3 linked regions of the Caenorhabditis elegans genome follow. The protein of the gene in region 2 purifies or fractionates together with the protein of the main gene of each other region. This does not show direct contact. Each region holds a gene or a part of one and is shown on either strand. Other genes may lie near its edges.

Region 1 (5,538 bases), on a different chromosome or scaffold from region 2:
ATGGTTAAATAGACTATTTTGTGGAATAATTTGATCTCATGTAAAATATAGTCCAACTGTTAAATATTTCGTGTGATATATTATGTAAAATGTATTTTTTTTCTGTAATTTTCATATATATTTTTTTCAAGTTTTCTTGATGTTTAACCGGTTTGCAGCCGACTTTTTGTCTATCTTCTATGTTTTTTTGTTATTTTTTACATTGAAAACCCCCTAATTCCAGCGAAAAATGGTCCGTCTCACGACTGAGCTGTTCGCCGAGCGTCCACAATTCGTCAATTCGGTCAATATGCGGGAGATCAACTTGCGCGGCCAAAAAATCCCCGTAATCGAGAATATGGGAGTGACGAGGGATCAATTCGATGTCATCGATCTGACTGACAACGATATCAGGAAATTGGACAATTTTCCGACGTTTTCTCGTTTGAATACGCTGTATCTTCATAATAATCGAATCAAGTGCGTAGTTTTCCGAAAAACGAGCGAAAAGTGGCTAAATTTAGCTAAAAATATAGAATTTTGCACCATATTTTGCTGGAAAAGCCCAAATTTTAGCTAAAAATTCCAATTTTGCCAATTTATCCGTGTTTTAGTGCTTTTCCAGTCGATTTGTACCCAACTTTGGTTATTTTCGACTGAAAAGTACCGAAAAATGGGGTTTCCTGGCAGAATTCGGTGATTTCAGCTTGAAATAGGGTTTTAAAAAATTTTAAACCGGAAAATTCTGACAAACTTCCCTAAATTGAATTTAAAAAATTGAAAAAAAAACGTTTCTTTGCTCTGAAATTTCATGAAATTTCCAAATTTTTTTTTCGGCAAGTTGGCGAAAAATTCAGATTTAGCCGGATTTCGCTATTTTTTCCAAAAAAAAAAAACGAAAAAATCAGTTTTTTATGAAAGAACATAGGAAAAATATAATTTTTTTCCTGAAAAAGTTCGAAAAATTTTAAGCCATTTTTCGAAAAATCGAAGTTTTTTTCGGAAAGTAGGGGAAAAAATCGATTTTTCAGAAAATATCCTAAAATTTTGGTCATTTTCAAATTTTTAAAATACTTTCTCTAATTTATTCTTCAAAAATTTAAATTTTATGGTTACTATTTCCTGAAAAAAAATTAAAAACCCTCCATTTTTCATTGCAAAACTGCTTTTTTCCCACATTTTCGAGCTCCATTCCCACCAATTTACCCCATATTTTCAGCTATATCGCACCCGACATTGCCACAAAACTTCCAAATCTCAAAACTCTTGCACTGACCAACAACAACATTTGCGAGCTCGGAGACATTGAGCCACTGGCAGAATGCAAGAAGCTCGAGTACGTGACATTTATCGGAAATCCGATAACTCACAAGGACAATTATCGGATGTATATGATCTACAAGCTGCCGACGGTTCGAGTGATTGACTTCAATCGAGTCAGACTGACAGAACGTGAAGCTGCGAAGAAGATGTTCAAAGGAAAAAGTGGAAAGAAGGCGAGAGATGCGATTCAGAAGAGTGTTCATACAGAAGATCCATCAGAAATTGAACCAAATGAGAATAGTTCGGGTGGAGGTGCTCGGCTTACTGATGAAGATCGGGAGAAGATCAAGGAAGCGATCAAGAATGCCAAGTCACTCAGTGAAGTCAACTATCTTCAGTCGATTCTGGCATCGGGAAAGGTTCCGGAAAAGGGATGGAATCGTCAGATGGATCAGAATGGTGCCGATGGGGAAGCGATGGAGTCTTGAAAAATCTTGAAAATTGCAGAATGTGCTGCTAAAATTTATTTATTTATTTTATTTGATTTTTTTAATGTTAAAATGATACTCCTTGTTTTATTTATATTCTCATTTTTTTCCAATTTTTTCCCAGTCTGTCTTCCCTTTTTTTGTAATTTTTATATACCATAAAACAATATTTCCCCTATTATTTTTGATATTTTTATCGATTTTTCAAAGGTTCCCCGTGCCTTTTTATATTTGATTTTTTGAAATTTTTGCAACAAAAAGTTAGAAAAAAATCCTTTTTCAGCCATTTTTGTGTTTTCCGGCTATTTTTTATTATTTTATTAATTTTGAGAGGTTCCCACTGGGAACTTCCCAGCGCCTTCAAATATCTATTTGGAAAAAAAAGGTTTAAAAATTGGAAAAAACGCGGATTTTTTTTTGAATTCTCGCCTAAAATAATCCATTTTTTGTGTTTTTTTGTCATTTTTCCGCAAAAAAAAAACTTCAAAACCCTTAAAAAAATGCGTTAAAACTCTAAAATTACCCTAAAAATCGATAATTTTAGACTTTTTTTTTCACAAAAACTATCGATTTTTGGCTAATTTTAGAGTTTTCAACTTTTTTTGCTGAAAAATGACTGAAAATGTGACAATGAAAAACCGATAAAAAAAGCCGGAAAATACAAAAATGTAGAAAATCGGTGAGAAATTCAAAAATAAATCGGCTTTCACTAGTTTTTTTGCAAAATATTTTGAAAAATCTTTTTTTTTCAATTATAAAAATTTTTTTTGGTCAGTTTTGGCAAAAAAAACCAAAAAAAAACTGGCTCTCTACCATTAAAACAATTATTTTCAAAAAATCCACAACTTCCAGATGTCGGCCGCTCAAACCGCCGCCGCCACTCCAGCCGAGCAAGAAGAGCAACGAAAAGTCGTCGAAAAGTTCAAGGCTCTACGTGATCAACAACAGGATATCGCCGCCGAAGTGACTCGAATCGAAGAGGAACGACGTGAATTTGGACGTGTTCTCGAAGTGATCAAGGATCTTGAACCGGATCAGAAATGCTTCCGTTTGATTAGTGATACACTTGTCGAGTATACTGTCAAGGATGTTATTCCGGATTTGCAGAATAATATCGCTAATGTGAGGATTTGAAAGTCGGGAAAAATAGAAGAAAAGGCGGAGGAAACAGTCATGTGTCGATTTACGGAGTTTGTGTACTCCTCGTGGAGAAGATTTTACAGATTCCGGCTGAAATACCTGATTTTCGACCTTTTTTCTATATTTAACGCGTTTTAAATTGGGGATTTACAGTATTTCCGATGAAAATTGACAGTTTTTTGAAGCAAAAAAAAATATTTTTTCATCTGAAACACTGAATTTTCCGATTTGTTGCACCAAAAATACGGTATCTGGAAGCTATGCGCCTTCAAGGAGTACTGTAATTTGAAATTTGTGGAATTTATATTGATTTTCCGTAGTTTTTCGATAAAACACTTCAATTTTAACAAATCGAATGAAAAAATATAAACAAATCGATGGAAACTTTGCAAATTCGGGTACTCTTTAAAGGTGCGCAGCGTCATGTATTCGAAACAAATGTCGTGTCGAGATCAGACATCGTAGTTTTAGCGCAAAATTTCGCGTTTTTACACCTAAAAATTGAAAAAAAAAACCAGATTTTCCGTTTTTTTTATAGCGAAACCCCCAATTTGCGCTGGGAAATACTGTAAAAATACGATTTTAATATGGTTAAATACAAAAAATTGAAAAAAAAAACAGACTTCTCCTCGTGGAGTACACGAGCTGCGTAAATCGACACAAGACCATGATTTCACAGCCATTTTGCCATTTTTAATGCGAAAATTCATTGAAAATCAGTGTCAAAACATGGAAAATTAACGGTTTAATCTTAAAATAACAGTAATTTCAACGAAAATATTTGAGAAAACGGTCAAAAATGGTCTGAAAGTTGAATTTTGTTCAACTTTCAGGCAATTTTTGAGCTCTATCTTGGATATTTCGATTGAAAATAGTGTAATTTAAAGAGAAATCGAGTGATTTTCTATATTTTGTCACAAATTTTCAGCAGAAAAACATGGTGCAACTGACCAGAATTACCGAAAATAATAAAATTTTGCAGTTGACAATCGTCTCGAAGCAGCTCAACGATCAGCTCGTCGAAAAGGGAAAAGAGCTGAACACTCACAAAACTACACACAACATTCGTCTGCTCACTGAGAAAGAATCTGCCGAGCTGAGAAAAGCTGAAGCTCTTGGACAATTGCCAAAAGCTTAAATTTCCCCTGCTTTAATTTTTTTCTCGATTTCCTACTGCTTTTTCATGTTTTCATACGTTTTTTCTTACTCTGTTTGTTGCCTTTTTTCTATATGCTCCCGTTAAAAGAACTTAAGTCTTGCATAAATTGAATTTGAATTTTTTTTCGATTTTTAACTGCTTTATTATGGTTTTTGAAATCCAATTTTATCTTTTTTTTTTTGAAAAAAAAAACATTTTTTGGTTTAATAAGTTTTTTTTCCAAATTTCGATATTTTCCCCGTTATTCAACAAAATTCATCGATTTTTTCATCGTTTTCACATTTTCAGAATTTTTTTTCGAAAAAAACTGAAAAAGTAGCCTAAAACCGATAATTTAACATTCAATCATATTTTTTGCGAAAAAAATTGAAAAAAAAACTATTTTTCAAGTTTGTCATTTTTTGATTGATTACTAACTTAAAAAATGGTTTTTTTTTTCAAATTTTTTCCCATAAAAAGTATAATTTAATGTTAAACTATCGATTTTTAGGGTACTTTTACAGTTTTTTGAGAAAAAATGTCTGGAAAAATGGGAAACCATGTTTCAAATTATAAAAAACTGCAAAAAGTGAAGAAAAATCAATAAATTTAGTCAAAAAACTCAACAAAAAAAGTTTTAAAAATTCGAACTTTCTCAATTTTTTTAGAAAAATGAAAAAAATATCGATTTTTCGAACAAAAAATCGAGAAAAAAGAAGAAATTATGGAAAAAATGAAATTCTTTCAAAAAAGTCGGAAAATTAATTGGAAATTATGGAAATTTTCCAATAAAATTTCAAAAAATACCGAATAATCAAGAAACGATGAATTTTTTTTTTGATTTTTCAACAAAAAATCAAAAAATCTGAAATTTCAGCCAAAAACCATGTCAAAAGTGTGCGATGCAATTCTATCGGACGACGATGATGATTTGGAGATGGATGAAGAGCAGGAAAAGCCATCTACGAGCTCAAAATCCGTGAAAAATGAAGAATTTGAGGAATTTGAAGACGGCGAAGATGTAGAGGATGAGGAGGATGAAGCTTCAGATGAAGATGAAGAAGAATCTGAAGGAGAAGAAGGCGATGAATTCAAGTCATCAGATGACACCCCAAAGCCCATTCAAATCTCCGAAGACAACATGACAACTAAGAAATTCTCCCAACTCGGCGTGTGCTCCTGGATCACTCAACAGCTTCAAACTATGCAAATTAAGACGGCGACGCCAGTTCAGGCGGCTTGTATTCCAAAAATTCTCGAAGGAAGCGATATTTTAGGTAAGGAATCGGGAAATTTTTGGTTTTCAATGAAAAAAAGCTAGAAAAAATAGGAAGTGTTCGAATTCGCCTTCAAAAAACTAGAAAAATCGGATAATTCTCGATTTTTCTTTTACTTTTGTTTTTAAAGGAAAATCGAAAATTTCCTAATTTTCCATCGAAATTTTCCCTGAAAAAAACTAGGAAAATTAAAGCGGGAAATTTTTTATAATTTTTATGGAAAAAAGAAAGAAAAATTGAATAATTTTCGATT
Region 2 (5,949 bases):
CTGTATACACATGATATCGACGAAACACGTACTCATAAAGTTTTGGAGGAATTTAAGGTTATTTGAGCAAAAAAAAAATTTTGAAAAAAAATTTCGCAAAATTTTTTTTTTTTTGGAAAATTAATTTCAAACATTTCCAGGTTCATGGCCTAGGATCCGTGACGACGGCCGTCGTTCGAAATGTCTGCACCTCTGGATTCCACGTGGAAAACGCTGCCGACGGGGTATTCCTGGATGTACCGGCACCGTGGGAGGCAATCCCATTCGCCGCAAAATCAATTTTCCGGGCTCGTGGAGGTCGTCTAGTGTCTTTTAGGTAGCTATCAGTGGAAAAATTGAGCCTGATTAAGACTAAATGGGCCTGGGACCCGAAATATTGCCGAAAAATTTCGCTTTTTTTTTTAGCTTTTTCGGTTTTTTTTTCCAGTGAAAATCGGATAAAAATTGGAAAATTAACACAAATTTCAAACTTTTATCAAATTTTGTTCGTAACAATAAATAGAAAAGGGAAACAAAAGTTTTTTTTGGAATATCGAAAATTCAAAAATTTCGATTTTTCGAGGTGCTTAAAAAAATTTTTTTGAATTTTTTTGTAAAAAACTGAACATTTTGGTCATTTTTGTTAATTTCCAATTTTCTGCAAGAAAACAGAAAAAAACGAAAAATTTTGATTTTGTGAAAAAAACTGGAAATTTTGGCAATTTTCATAAAATTTTAATTCAAAAAAATTGTTTTTTTTTACTTTTTCGTTTATCTCAGAAAAAACCGAAAAATTTTACATTTTCCGGCGACTCCCTGCAAAAATTGAACCCGAAACCCTCGTTTTCAGCCAATTTCCCCAATTTTTGCTCCAAACCCCCGATTTTTCTTACAGTCCGTGCCTGGAACAAGTCCAACGTGCCTGCCTAGCCATGGCGGCCGCCGGTTTCGTGAGCATCGAGACGATTGAGCTCGTTCCCGAGCAGAAGAAGATCGTCAGTCAACACCGGCAGACGCTTGAAGAGTTTGAAGAGCTCGGTGATGCTTATCCGAAGGAACGGAAGAGAAATGTCGATGGAACAATCGTTGAGCAAAGGTTTGGGCATTTTCCATTGATTTCTGGCTGCTGAGATGTTGATTTTCGAGCTCAGGACCCTTGGTTTACCCTAAAAAAATTGAAAAAGAACCAATAAAAATATTTCGACCACAGTGGGGACTCGAACCCCGGAGTGAAAATCCAGGCCATCGAGCTAAAATTGTGCAAATTTTCAGCAGCTCCGCCATTCCACGTATCACAATTGCAATCGTCTATCCATATTCTCAGCCAACACACACTGGGTACCTGACTCATGCCACGATGCTCCCGGTCGCCGAATAATTTATTTTTTTAATTTGATTGTTGATTTTTTAAATTTTTGTTGCTGTTAAATTTTTTGAATTTTTGAATTTCGTGAGAAAAATTGCAAATTTCAAGCTAAAAACGGGAAAAAATCACGATTTTTGGAGAAAATCTTTTGAAAAATAGTGAAAAATATCCAATTTTAGTCAAATAATATGGGAAAATCGATTTTTGTTTTCAAAATTTCTGCACTTTTTTGGATTTTTGAATTTTATGAAAAATTGGCGAAAAATTATAGCAAAATTTAAAAGCAAATCGGGGGGATGTGGCGGGACAAAAATACGGAAAATTCAACAAAAATTCAGCAGAAACAATCAAAAAATGGGATTTTAAAGGGGATTTCAAGAGATTTTTCGGGCGAAAAACGGGGAAAATTGTGTAATTTTGATCAATTATTTCGCTCCATTATTGACAGCGAGAGCGGCACGACGTTTATTAACTCCAAAATTGACAATATGGGACATGTTGACTTCGGTTGTGGTGATTTGATCCTTAATATATGACAATTCGTTTGTCAGCTCGTCGACCACTTTTTGAACGGAGCCACGGTTTTTGTCGAGCAGTTTTCGAGCATTTTCAAGGTCATATTCGACCATTACGTTGGCTCCAAGCCAGATTGATACCTGGAAATTTCGGGAATTTTAGAGGGTTTTTCTGAAAATTGAATTATTGAGCCATTTTTAGGGCTGAAAATCAGAATTTTTAATGTTTTTCCGGGAAAAATTGCTAAAAAATTATAATTCTGGGTTTTTGGGAGGAAATTGCTTTTTAAAATACGAAATTTTGAGTTTTTTCGATAAAAATTGCCGAAAATTGCTGAAAGTTGGTTTTTTGAAGTTTTTCGCATCAAAAATTGATTTTTTTTTTGAAAAATAGCTAGAAAAAAATATTGTGAAGTTTCCCTGTGCAAGTTGACTAAAAATTCTAAAATTCAGCCTTTTTTAATGCTGAAATTGGCTTAAAATGAGGATTTTTAGGTATTTTCTTGGGAAAAAAAAAATTAAAGTCAAAAATTCAAATTTTTGCGGTTTTCAAGTGCCAATTTCCTTAAAAATGGGGTTTTCTGGCATTTTTGTGTTAAAATTGGTTGAAAAATCACATTTTTTGTGAATTTTCGAGGAAAAAATTGTGGGAACTTGATTTTAGGCGATTTTTCCTTGAAAATATCGATTTCCAGCTATTTTTCTTGAATTTTCAGCGTTTTTTCTACCTTCTCGGGCTTCTGAACAGTGGCTTTTGTGTAGACATCATCGGAGAGCAGGAAAGTCGTCTCGAACGACTCATCGGCGGCTCTTTTCGCGATTAATGTGTCGATAATGCTCAAACTGTTCTCGAATTCCGGGATTTTTTCGCTCATTCGTACTTTTTGAGCGAGCATCGATGATTCGACGTATTTGTACTTTCCGTATTTCTCACGGAGCACAACTTCGGCTTCCTCGATCGAAAGCTTCTCCTTTGTGAGCCATGACTCGACGTCTTCCTGAAAAAAAATGGGGTTCAGAGAGGAATTTGTGAATTTTCTAATATTTTTTAAAGATTTTTCACTAAAATTCCAGAAAATTTCCATAACAAACTCCAATTTTTGTTTGAAAAATAGGATTTGACATTTTTTTCCCGAATTTTTCAGTTTTGAGGGAAAACTTAGTTTTTTGAGGAAATTCTTGAGACTTCTTCCAAAATTCAATGGAAAATACTGGTTTACTGGATTTTTTCTCGAGTTTTTAGAGATTTTCAATTTTTTAAATTTTCCGACTTACAATGAGCTCGCTTTTTGGGATTCCACGTGCTGATAGACTGTCCGCTGTGTCCGACATGATTTTTCAATGAAAATTTGCGAAAAAACGCAAAAAATTCGAGGAAAATCGGTAAAAATTGAGCGTAGAAATTCCGGGGAAAAAGAAAATTCCAGTTGACGCGTTTTTCGATCCCAGTAAGTGCGCCAGCACTCGCCTTGGCGCGTTTCTCGACGAGAACCAGCGAGAGAGTGCGGGGAGACATTGAGACGCAGAGATTTTTAATGGAAAATCGCAGGAAGTAGCTGAAAATCCCTGAAAATTCAATTTTTTTTCTAAAAAAAAGATAAATTTCAAATTAAAAATATCATTAACCAAACTCTGCGTCCATCACACAAATCGGTTGCGGTGGAAAAAAACGAAATCGGATACGGTGGATGAGCGGAAGCTTCAAGTGGCCCGCGGGAAAGCTTTTGAGCTTTTGAGCACATCTTTGTGAAGTTTCTATCCGCCAAAGCCACTACAAAGACTGTATCGATGGGTATTGTGTGCAGATTTCCGGAAACCGAGCCGTATCTTTTCCAAAATTCTCATTTTTTCGCCAATTTTCTGTCGTTTAGGATGGAGATTTTTGCTTTTGTACGTTTTTTTGTGGAATATTTGAAAATTTTCTAAAATTGCTTTTATTTCTCAAAAAAGAAACTTTAAAAATCAGGTCTAAAACCCTTAAAAATGTGATTTTTCTTATATGGCCTAGAATTTCAAAAGTTAGGCCATGAATAAAATTTTCAGCATTACTCAATTCAGAGTTCTCCCCGCTGAGAACTTTCAAAAAGTATAATCAAGCCATACTTTGAAATTTTCAAAAAAAAACCCTTATGCGCCTTTAATTTTTTTTCGCAGCGAGACCCAAAACATGTCAATATGGGTGTCATTTCAAAGCTCTCAACGAGCTTAATATGATTTTGATATTCATTCTGAGAATAACCCAAGTTTTCGAAAAAATAGTTTAATATCCAAAAAAAGTATTTTCAGCTGCTATTAGAAACTTCCGGGGGTAAATGACGAGTAACTCCACCCTTCTCACTTAAATATTCCGCCTGGTGCCGGATGGCTGCCGAAATACGTCAAACTTCTATTTTAGCCCCCCGTTGCTGCTCCGTTTTTGCTGAAATTGAGCTGGAATTTCGTAGTTACTAATTTTTCGGTTCTTTAGAAAATTTCCAGTTCTCAGAGCTATTTTAGGCCAGAAAATTTTCAATAAATCATTTTTTCCAACGTGTGTGACAGGTGATGTGATTAGAAAATTTTTAGTTTTTAATCTGAAATTTTTTTTACTCCAAAAAGGTTTTTTTCAATCAATCAAATCCGAAACAATTTGAAAAACGTACTATTTTTTTGTTTTTTCCCGAAAGTTAAATTTTTTTTAATAAAAAACGTTTCGAGGACTAGCTTTCATATTTTTAAATCTAAGATTTGGCTGAACTAGGCCATTTTATCTCGGCCACGGCCGGTGTCGATTTACGACGCGTAGGGGTTCGCTTTTAATATACAACTATTTTTTGTCCTTCTGTTTCTGAAAAAAATACATCAAAATTGGAGAGCATGGTTCTGGAAATTGTCGGAGTAGGTCTCAACGCGAAAAAGGTTTAAAGGTACATAGGTATTGCGAAATATTTCGAAATTTCGAATTGGCGTGAAAGTAGCCGCTGACCTATTATCAATACTTTTGCAAAGAAGTTCAACGGCGCATAGAGTTTTCGCAAGTTGAGTTGAATAGGAATTCAGTGTTTTTTCGATTAAAAAAATCATGGCCTAACTTCAGATTTGTAGGCCACTAAGCCTTACCGCCCCTGTAACCAAACGGACACATGGTGCCAGGCTGTCCCATTACGGTTTGATCTACAAAAAATGCGGGATTTTTTTGCAAAAAAAATGTGACGTCAGCACGTTCTTAATCATGCGAAATCAGTTGAGAACTTTGCGTCTCTTCTCCCGCGTTTTTTGTAAATCTACGTAGATCAAGCCGATATGGGACACTCTGACACCATGTGTATGGATTCTCCCGGAAGATCAGAATCCCCATTAGATGCAGACTTCCAAGCTCTCGGAGCACAAAAAAATCCCAACTAAAAGTACTTTATTCCATAAAAACACAAAATCCAAAACGTTAAGTTCCAATTCGAGGCTCCACTTGCCAATGGAAGGACTTCAGTTTCTTCATGATCCGCTGGATTAGCTGGAGCTTCTGCAACCTCCGAGGGTTCCGTGAAAGCTAGTGGAGCTGCGGAGGTGGTGGAAGCCGTTGATGGAAGCTTTGTAGTACTTGTTGAAGGCTTGGTTGGAAGATCAAAAGGTGTAGCCGTTGCTGGAGCTCCTGCGGCTTCCGAGTGTTCCGTGGAAGCTAGTCGAGCTGTGGATGTTTTGGATGCTGTTTTTGGAAGCTTTGTAGTACTCGTTGAGCTCAATTTTCGAGTGCCTGTGATCGTAGTAATTTCTCTCCCCGAAGGTTTGGTTGGAAGATCAGCAGGTGTAGCCGTTGCTAAAGCTTCTGTTGCCTCCGATGGTTCCGTGGAAGCTTGTGGAGCTGCGAAGGTGGTGGATGTTGTTGTTGGAAGCTTTGCAGTAGTAGTACTCGTTGAGGTCAATGATCGGGTTCTTGAAGGCTTGGTTGGAAGATCAGAAGGTGTAGTTGTTGCCTTCCAAACCGATGAGGTGGGAAGTTTAGAGGATCTAGTTGAAGGAGCTGTGGAAGTTTGAGCCGGGCCTTCACAAATTCCAGCCAATCCACAAAGCGCATAGTTGTCCGGCTTCAGGAACCATGCCGAGTCTCCTGTA
Region 3 (4,855 bases), on a different chromosome or scaffold from region 2:
GTCCATGTTAAATTATTGAATAATCCATCGATGGGTTTTTATTTTTGAAATTCCAAAAAAAAAAAGCAATTTTTATCAATTGAATAAATTATCACCCACAGTAAAAAAAGATTGAAAATGAAGAAAAAACATCAATATTGGTAAGAAAGAAGTAGATTATGCTCGCAAACTCGGAGAAACATTCGAGTTAAGTGAAAACATGAAATGCTATAAAAATTTGATGATAAAACAGCTGCATAAAGGAATAATAATTTAGAAAGAACGAGTTATAAAATGCAATAAGTAATTTTTAGTAAATATTTAATCTTCATCGACAAACGAAATAGTTCCCGCGTTTTTCATATATCTCTTATACCTTTTGTACCGACCCGATTGAGCCATTTTTTCTTGTTCCGCAGCGTCTCGTTCGGCTTTCCACGTTGCACAGTTTCGTTTCAGCCAGCATTCTCGTTCAAAAAGATCATCAATGTCTTCATCAGTGTACTTCTGAAAATTAAATTATTAACTTTTGATGATAGAAAAAAGTATTTACCTGATCGAATTCCATTTGTGAAACTCCAATGTACTTTCTAATGAGATAAAGCTTGGCGTCATCATCATATTCCTCCTTTTGAATTGCAAATCTCCAATACCAAAGTGCTGTCCATTTAATGTATCGGAATATCGTTAATGGGAAAATAATTGTGTGCCATGCGAGAGTATCGTAGATGGATTCTCGTTTGTAGCCACCCCTAAAATGTAGCTCAAATTATTTTACGAAAAATCTCAAGAATAACTGACGTGACATCAAGATTATCAATAATTATTTGCTTGATAACTTCATCATTGTCAACTCCTTTGTTCTTTTTTAATTTTCCATTCCGATCCATTTCCAGCAACTGAAAGCTAGATATTAATTACAGTGCAAGCTTAAAAATCGACCTACGCCTTTATCAATTCCATCTTTAATTGCCATATTGCGGAATTTTCCAACACCGGTTGCATATTCGATTGCTTCTGAGAACTTGTGTTTTGCAGAGAGGAATTGGAAGAGTGAAATGATAAGAATAGTTCCAACAATGACAATTCGAAGATCTACTTTTGGAGCGGCGCGAAGACGATAATATTGATAGTAATTGTAGAATCTTAAATAAAGAATATTTAAGTGTTCATATTCAGAGCGTCATACCTTTGATCAGGATGATCGAGATAATAGTCGTAATTAGTTTTTGCTTCATCATCCTTAAGTGTTTCATAAGCAGTGGCAATTACTCGGAAACGTTCTTCGGCGAGAAGCTTCTCTTCCTTATTCTTGACTCTATCTGGATGATGCTTCCTAGCCAGAGCTCTATATGCTTTAGCTAGCTTCTGCTTATCGAATTCCTCACGATTGACTTCGAGTACTGTAAATATGAATGCATTTATAGTTTTAACGTTTTCAGATCTTCATGAAAGTTTTGACTCACCATCATAACAGTTTTCTAATCCACAATAGAGCTCTGGAGCAAATCCGACCGATTCACATTCCTGGACGAAAAATGATACTAGTAAGAACAAGATGGGCGCCGCAATTGCTGAGCGCATTCTGCTGAAAAACAAAGATTGAGAAAAAATTTAAAAATGAGAACTGAAATATGAATCACCGAAAATCGGAAAATGAGAGAAAAACACAAATAATCATAGGTGAAATGTGACATGTTTATGAAGCAATCAACACCGGAAACAATGTAAACATTACGGATCAAAACCGATCTGATAGTGAGATTATGGAGTCAACATAAAATAAAAATAGTCATGTACAGTAAATGTGCAATAGAAAGTTTTAGGCGATACTTTGATCCTTTGATGCAGCATAATCACCGAAATACTTATTGTAATGCTCGTTGTCAATGTCAAGGAATGTAACAAGTACAATCCGTTCAATTGTATCATTCTTTTCAAGATACTCGGTCAGGAAATTGGTGACGGTTTTAGCGGCATCGTCATTTGGATAACCGTACACACCAGTAGAAATGCAACAGAAGGCCTGAAAATATATAATATTTGCAGTTATTTTTCAGATGAAACACTTACAATACTCTTCATCCCGTTCTCGATAGCAATATCTAGTGATGTTCTGTAACATGCAACAAGATTTTCACGCCGTTCATCTGTGACATTTCCATATACTTGTGGACCAACTGTGTGGATTATTTCTGAAAATTCCAATAAAATACGATCAAACAATGCTATAAATACTTACTTTTGATGTGATTAATATTGCATCCAGAGGTAATGACAGCATCTCCGACAGCACATCCGTTGTATTGCTGGCATTCTTCCTGTAGTTGCTTCCGTCCAGCTGCACGATGAATTGCACCATCAACGCCACCACCTCCAGCTAATCGACTGTTTGCTGCATTGACAATTGCGTCGACGGAAAGTTTAGTAATATCTCCATCCCAGACACTGATACGGCCCAGAACGTTTTTGGCAACCTTGACTGAAAATTGTGTACTATTTTAGAATTATGAAACGCCTGAAGCTTACATTTTTCAAAGAGAGTTGGAATTTCTGAAATTTTAGCTGCTGCCATTTTTTATCAGCCTTAAATTTGAACTGATAGTGACTTAAAAACAAAACAAATTAGGATAAAACAACGCGTGGAAGAAATTGTTCACGAGGACTACACGCAACATGGACTAGAATTTCGTGCGGCCGTGGCTGAGTTTTCTTATTTTTATGTTTCTCTCTCCAGAATTTTCTGTTTAATATCTTTTAATGTTGTTTCTTCGTTGTTTCTTTAATTAAATCTTTGAATTAAAAATAATTTAGAATGCCGGAACACACGAAAGTTTCTGCTGAAGACCAAGCGCTTCTCAATAAATTCGCTCGGTCATACCAAACACAAACCCAGTTAAAAGTACGTTTTTTTTTAAATTTTACATTAAAGTTTCTCTTCTTTAATTTCAGGCAGACGTTAAAGAAGCTAAAACACTCATTGACAATATCAATGAAGCAAGTGATGAAATTTTGTTGCTCGATGATGAGGATTCAGCATCAATTCCATGCAGAATTGGAAGCTGCTTCGTTCATTTCAATGGGGTGAGCAGTTTTTTTTTTAATTTGAATTGAGAATTAACGTTTGGTTTACACGAAAGTAGTGATTGGTTTTCAGGATAGTCTGAATGAGCATTTGGAAGGAAAGAAGACAACAGCAGAGAAGGTTTTGTCTGAGAAAACCTCCGAGTTGGATGCAATCTCAGCGGACATGGAGCAAATCAAGAAGGTTTTGTACGCCAAATTCGGAGATCAGATCAATTTGGACGCTGAAGAATAATCTATAAATTCTAATTTCTTATTTTGCTCGATTTTGTATCTTTTCCGTTGAAGCTTTCATATATAAAAATTATCTCAATTTAAAAATTGCTTTTCTCACCTTTTTCACAACGTGTGCTCACTGTTCACTGTTTCCGCGTATTTTGCTGATGAATTTTTTCGACCGATTTTCCTTATCACGAATGGCACCACCCACTTGTGGGTCACACCAGATCCTAAATATCAATATAGTGGACGGGAAGAGGAAGGTTTTTTCGTGTTTGGTGTTCATTTTAGTTTACATGTTTTGTTTCCCATTGCTCTTTATTTATAGAGGAGACGCTCGCCCACGTAATATAATAGCATTTTGGAAAAATCCATTATCTTTCAGACAATCTTATCATGATTTCCACAATAGACTGGCTAGAATGTAGCATTCTAAATATTTGAATTTAACAGAAAATATTCAATTTCTCTTTAAAAAAATACTTGAAAATTAATTATATTCCCAAATTGGCAACATTCTTTCCCGATTGTCTTTCTGTCCATTTAATTTGTCTGCCCTTTCTTTTCTCACCTTTTTTATCCGTTTCTTTCTTTGTCACCTCCGAAGTTTTGTCAGCATTTTCCGTTTTTTTCTCCTCATATTTTGTTTGCACTTTTCACCTTCTAAAAAAATGATCGGCAGAGACACAAATAAATGTGGCCATTCGTGTGCTCCGTTTTCCAAATGAAACCCGATTGGCAGAATTTATGGTTGAAAATGCATAGTTATTTAGGAGTTGCAAAGAACAGTTTTCATTCTTCTTTTTCTTTGTCTTCTTGTTAATTTGGTAAACTGATCAGACGTTAATCAAATTGATAAACTTTCAAGTTCAGTGATTTTTGATTTGTTTTCTGAAAACGAAATTAGTTTTTTCTCTGATAGACTAAGTCTTCGAAGAATTCATCTTCCAGATAAAATCCAAAAAAAATGTGTTCCAGAATATCCTAGTCGGTCAACTAAAAGTCAAGAACCATAGATTAAATCTAGAGTTACAAAGTTTCGTCTCTTCTCCAGAGTCAAGTTACTCGAGTTTTTATGTTTCCTAGAGAAATACATTGTTTCTTTTCATTGTCGATCAATGTCGCCCAGAGAACATTATTTGTCATGGTTACCACTCGCACACACTACACAATTTCATTCAGTCATCATTTTTTGTGACCCGAGAAGATTTCAGTAAATATTTTCATGTTTGTAAAGAGACTGGCGCATCCACTTTTCTCTTACTGTTTCTTTCTTCTCTCGCTGCCCTGTGAAAAAAATGGAAGTGGAGTAAAAAGTGACCGATTTATAGTGTTGTTCCAGTTGTTCCAATTCATTTATATTGTAGACTGCGGTTCGCTACTAGGTATATGATTCGAAAGGAAAAATTACATTTTTTAGTGCTAGAAATTAACATTATTCCATTAAATGTAACTAGCTGAAAGTAAGCAGTTTATTACTCTGCCAGTAAAAAAGAATTGCGCAGAATCATTATGAAGTACATCAATATATCAATTAACGTATTTCTTTTTGATTTTTCGTTGTATAAATGAA

Evidence for each region. Proteins that work in one complex are often made in the same cells at the same time.
Region 1: the proteins of pfd-3 (region 2) and pfd-2 fractionate together in Caenorhabditis elegans (co-fractionation; one large-scale study listed by BioGRID). This does not show direct contact.
Region 3: the proteins of pfd-3 (region 2) and pfd-4 fractionate together in Caenorhabditis elegans (co-fractionation; one large-scale study listed by BioGRID). This does not show direct contact.

The regions. Positions count from the first base shown.
Region 1 is NC_003280.10:4,324,138-4,329,675, forward strand, and holds pfd-2 (Prefoldin subunit 2), read left to right. Parts: upstream 1-2,582; coding exon 2,583-2,852; intron 2,853-3,852; coding exon 3,853-4,008; 3' UTR 4,009-4,147; downstream 4,148-5,538. Other genes in the region: mog-2 (putative U2 small nuclear ribonucleoprotein A'), read left to right, coding at 230-459, 1,199-1,730; H20J04.4 (RNA helicase), read left to right, coding at 4,895-5,285. UniProt on the Caenorhabditis elegans protein: Binds specifically to cytosolic chaperonin (c-CPN) and transfers target proteins to it. Binds to nascent polypeptide chain and promotes folding in an environment in which there are many competing pathways for nonnative proteins.
Region 2 is NC_003279.8:12,725,498-12,731,446, reverse strand, and holds pfd-3 (putative prefoldin subunit 3), read right to left. Parts: upstream 3,311-5,949; 5' UTR 3,193-3,310; coding exon 3,136-3,192; intron 2,859-3,135; coding exon 2,589-2,858; intron 2,002-2,588; coding exon 1,771-2,001; 3' UTR 1,549-1,770; downstream 1-1,548. Other genes in the region: trm-61A (tRNA (adenine(58)-N(1))-methyltransferase catalytic subunit TRMT61A), read left to right, coding at 1-57, 141-316, 875-1,075, 1,252-1,357. UniProt on the Caenorhabditis elegans protein: Binds specifically to cytosolic chaperonin (c-CPN) and transfers target proteins to it. Binds to nascent polypeptide chain and promotes folding in an environment in which there are many competing pathways for nonnative proteins.
Region 3 is NC_003282.8:11,312,414-11,317,268, forward strand, and holds pfd-4 (putative prefoldin subunit 4), read left to right. Parts: upstream 1-2,793; 5' UTR 2,794-2,794; coding exon 2,795-2,881; intron 2,882-2,931; coding exon 2,932-3,063; intron 3,064-3,136; coding exon 3,137-3,298; 3' UTR 3,299-3,464; downstream 3,465-4,855. Other genes in the region: DnaJ homolog dnj-2, read right to left, coding at 301-486, 533-731, 781-878, 926-1,124, 1,169-1,382, 1,446-1,563; B0035.3 (Macro domain-containing protein), read right to left, coding at 1,802-2,005, 2,053-2,174, 2,222-2,461, 2,509-2,554. UniProt on the Caenorhabditis elegans protein: Binds specifically to cytosolic chaperonin (c-CPN) and transfers target proteins to it. Binds to nascent polypeptide chain and promotes folding in an environment in which there are many competing pathways for nonnative proteins.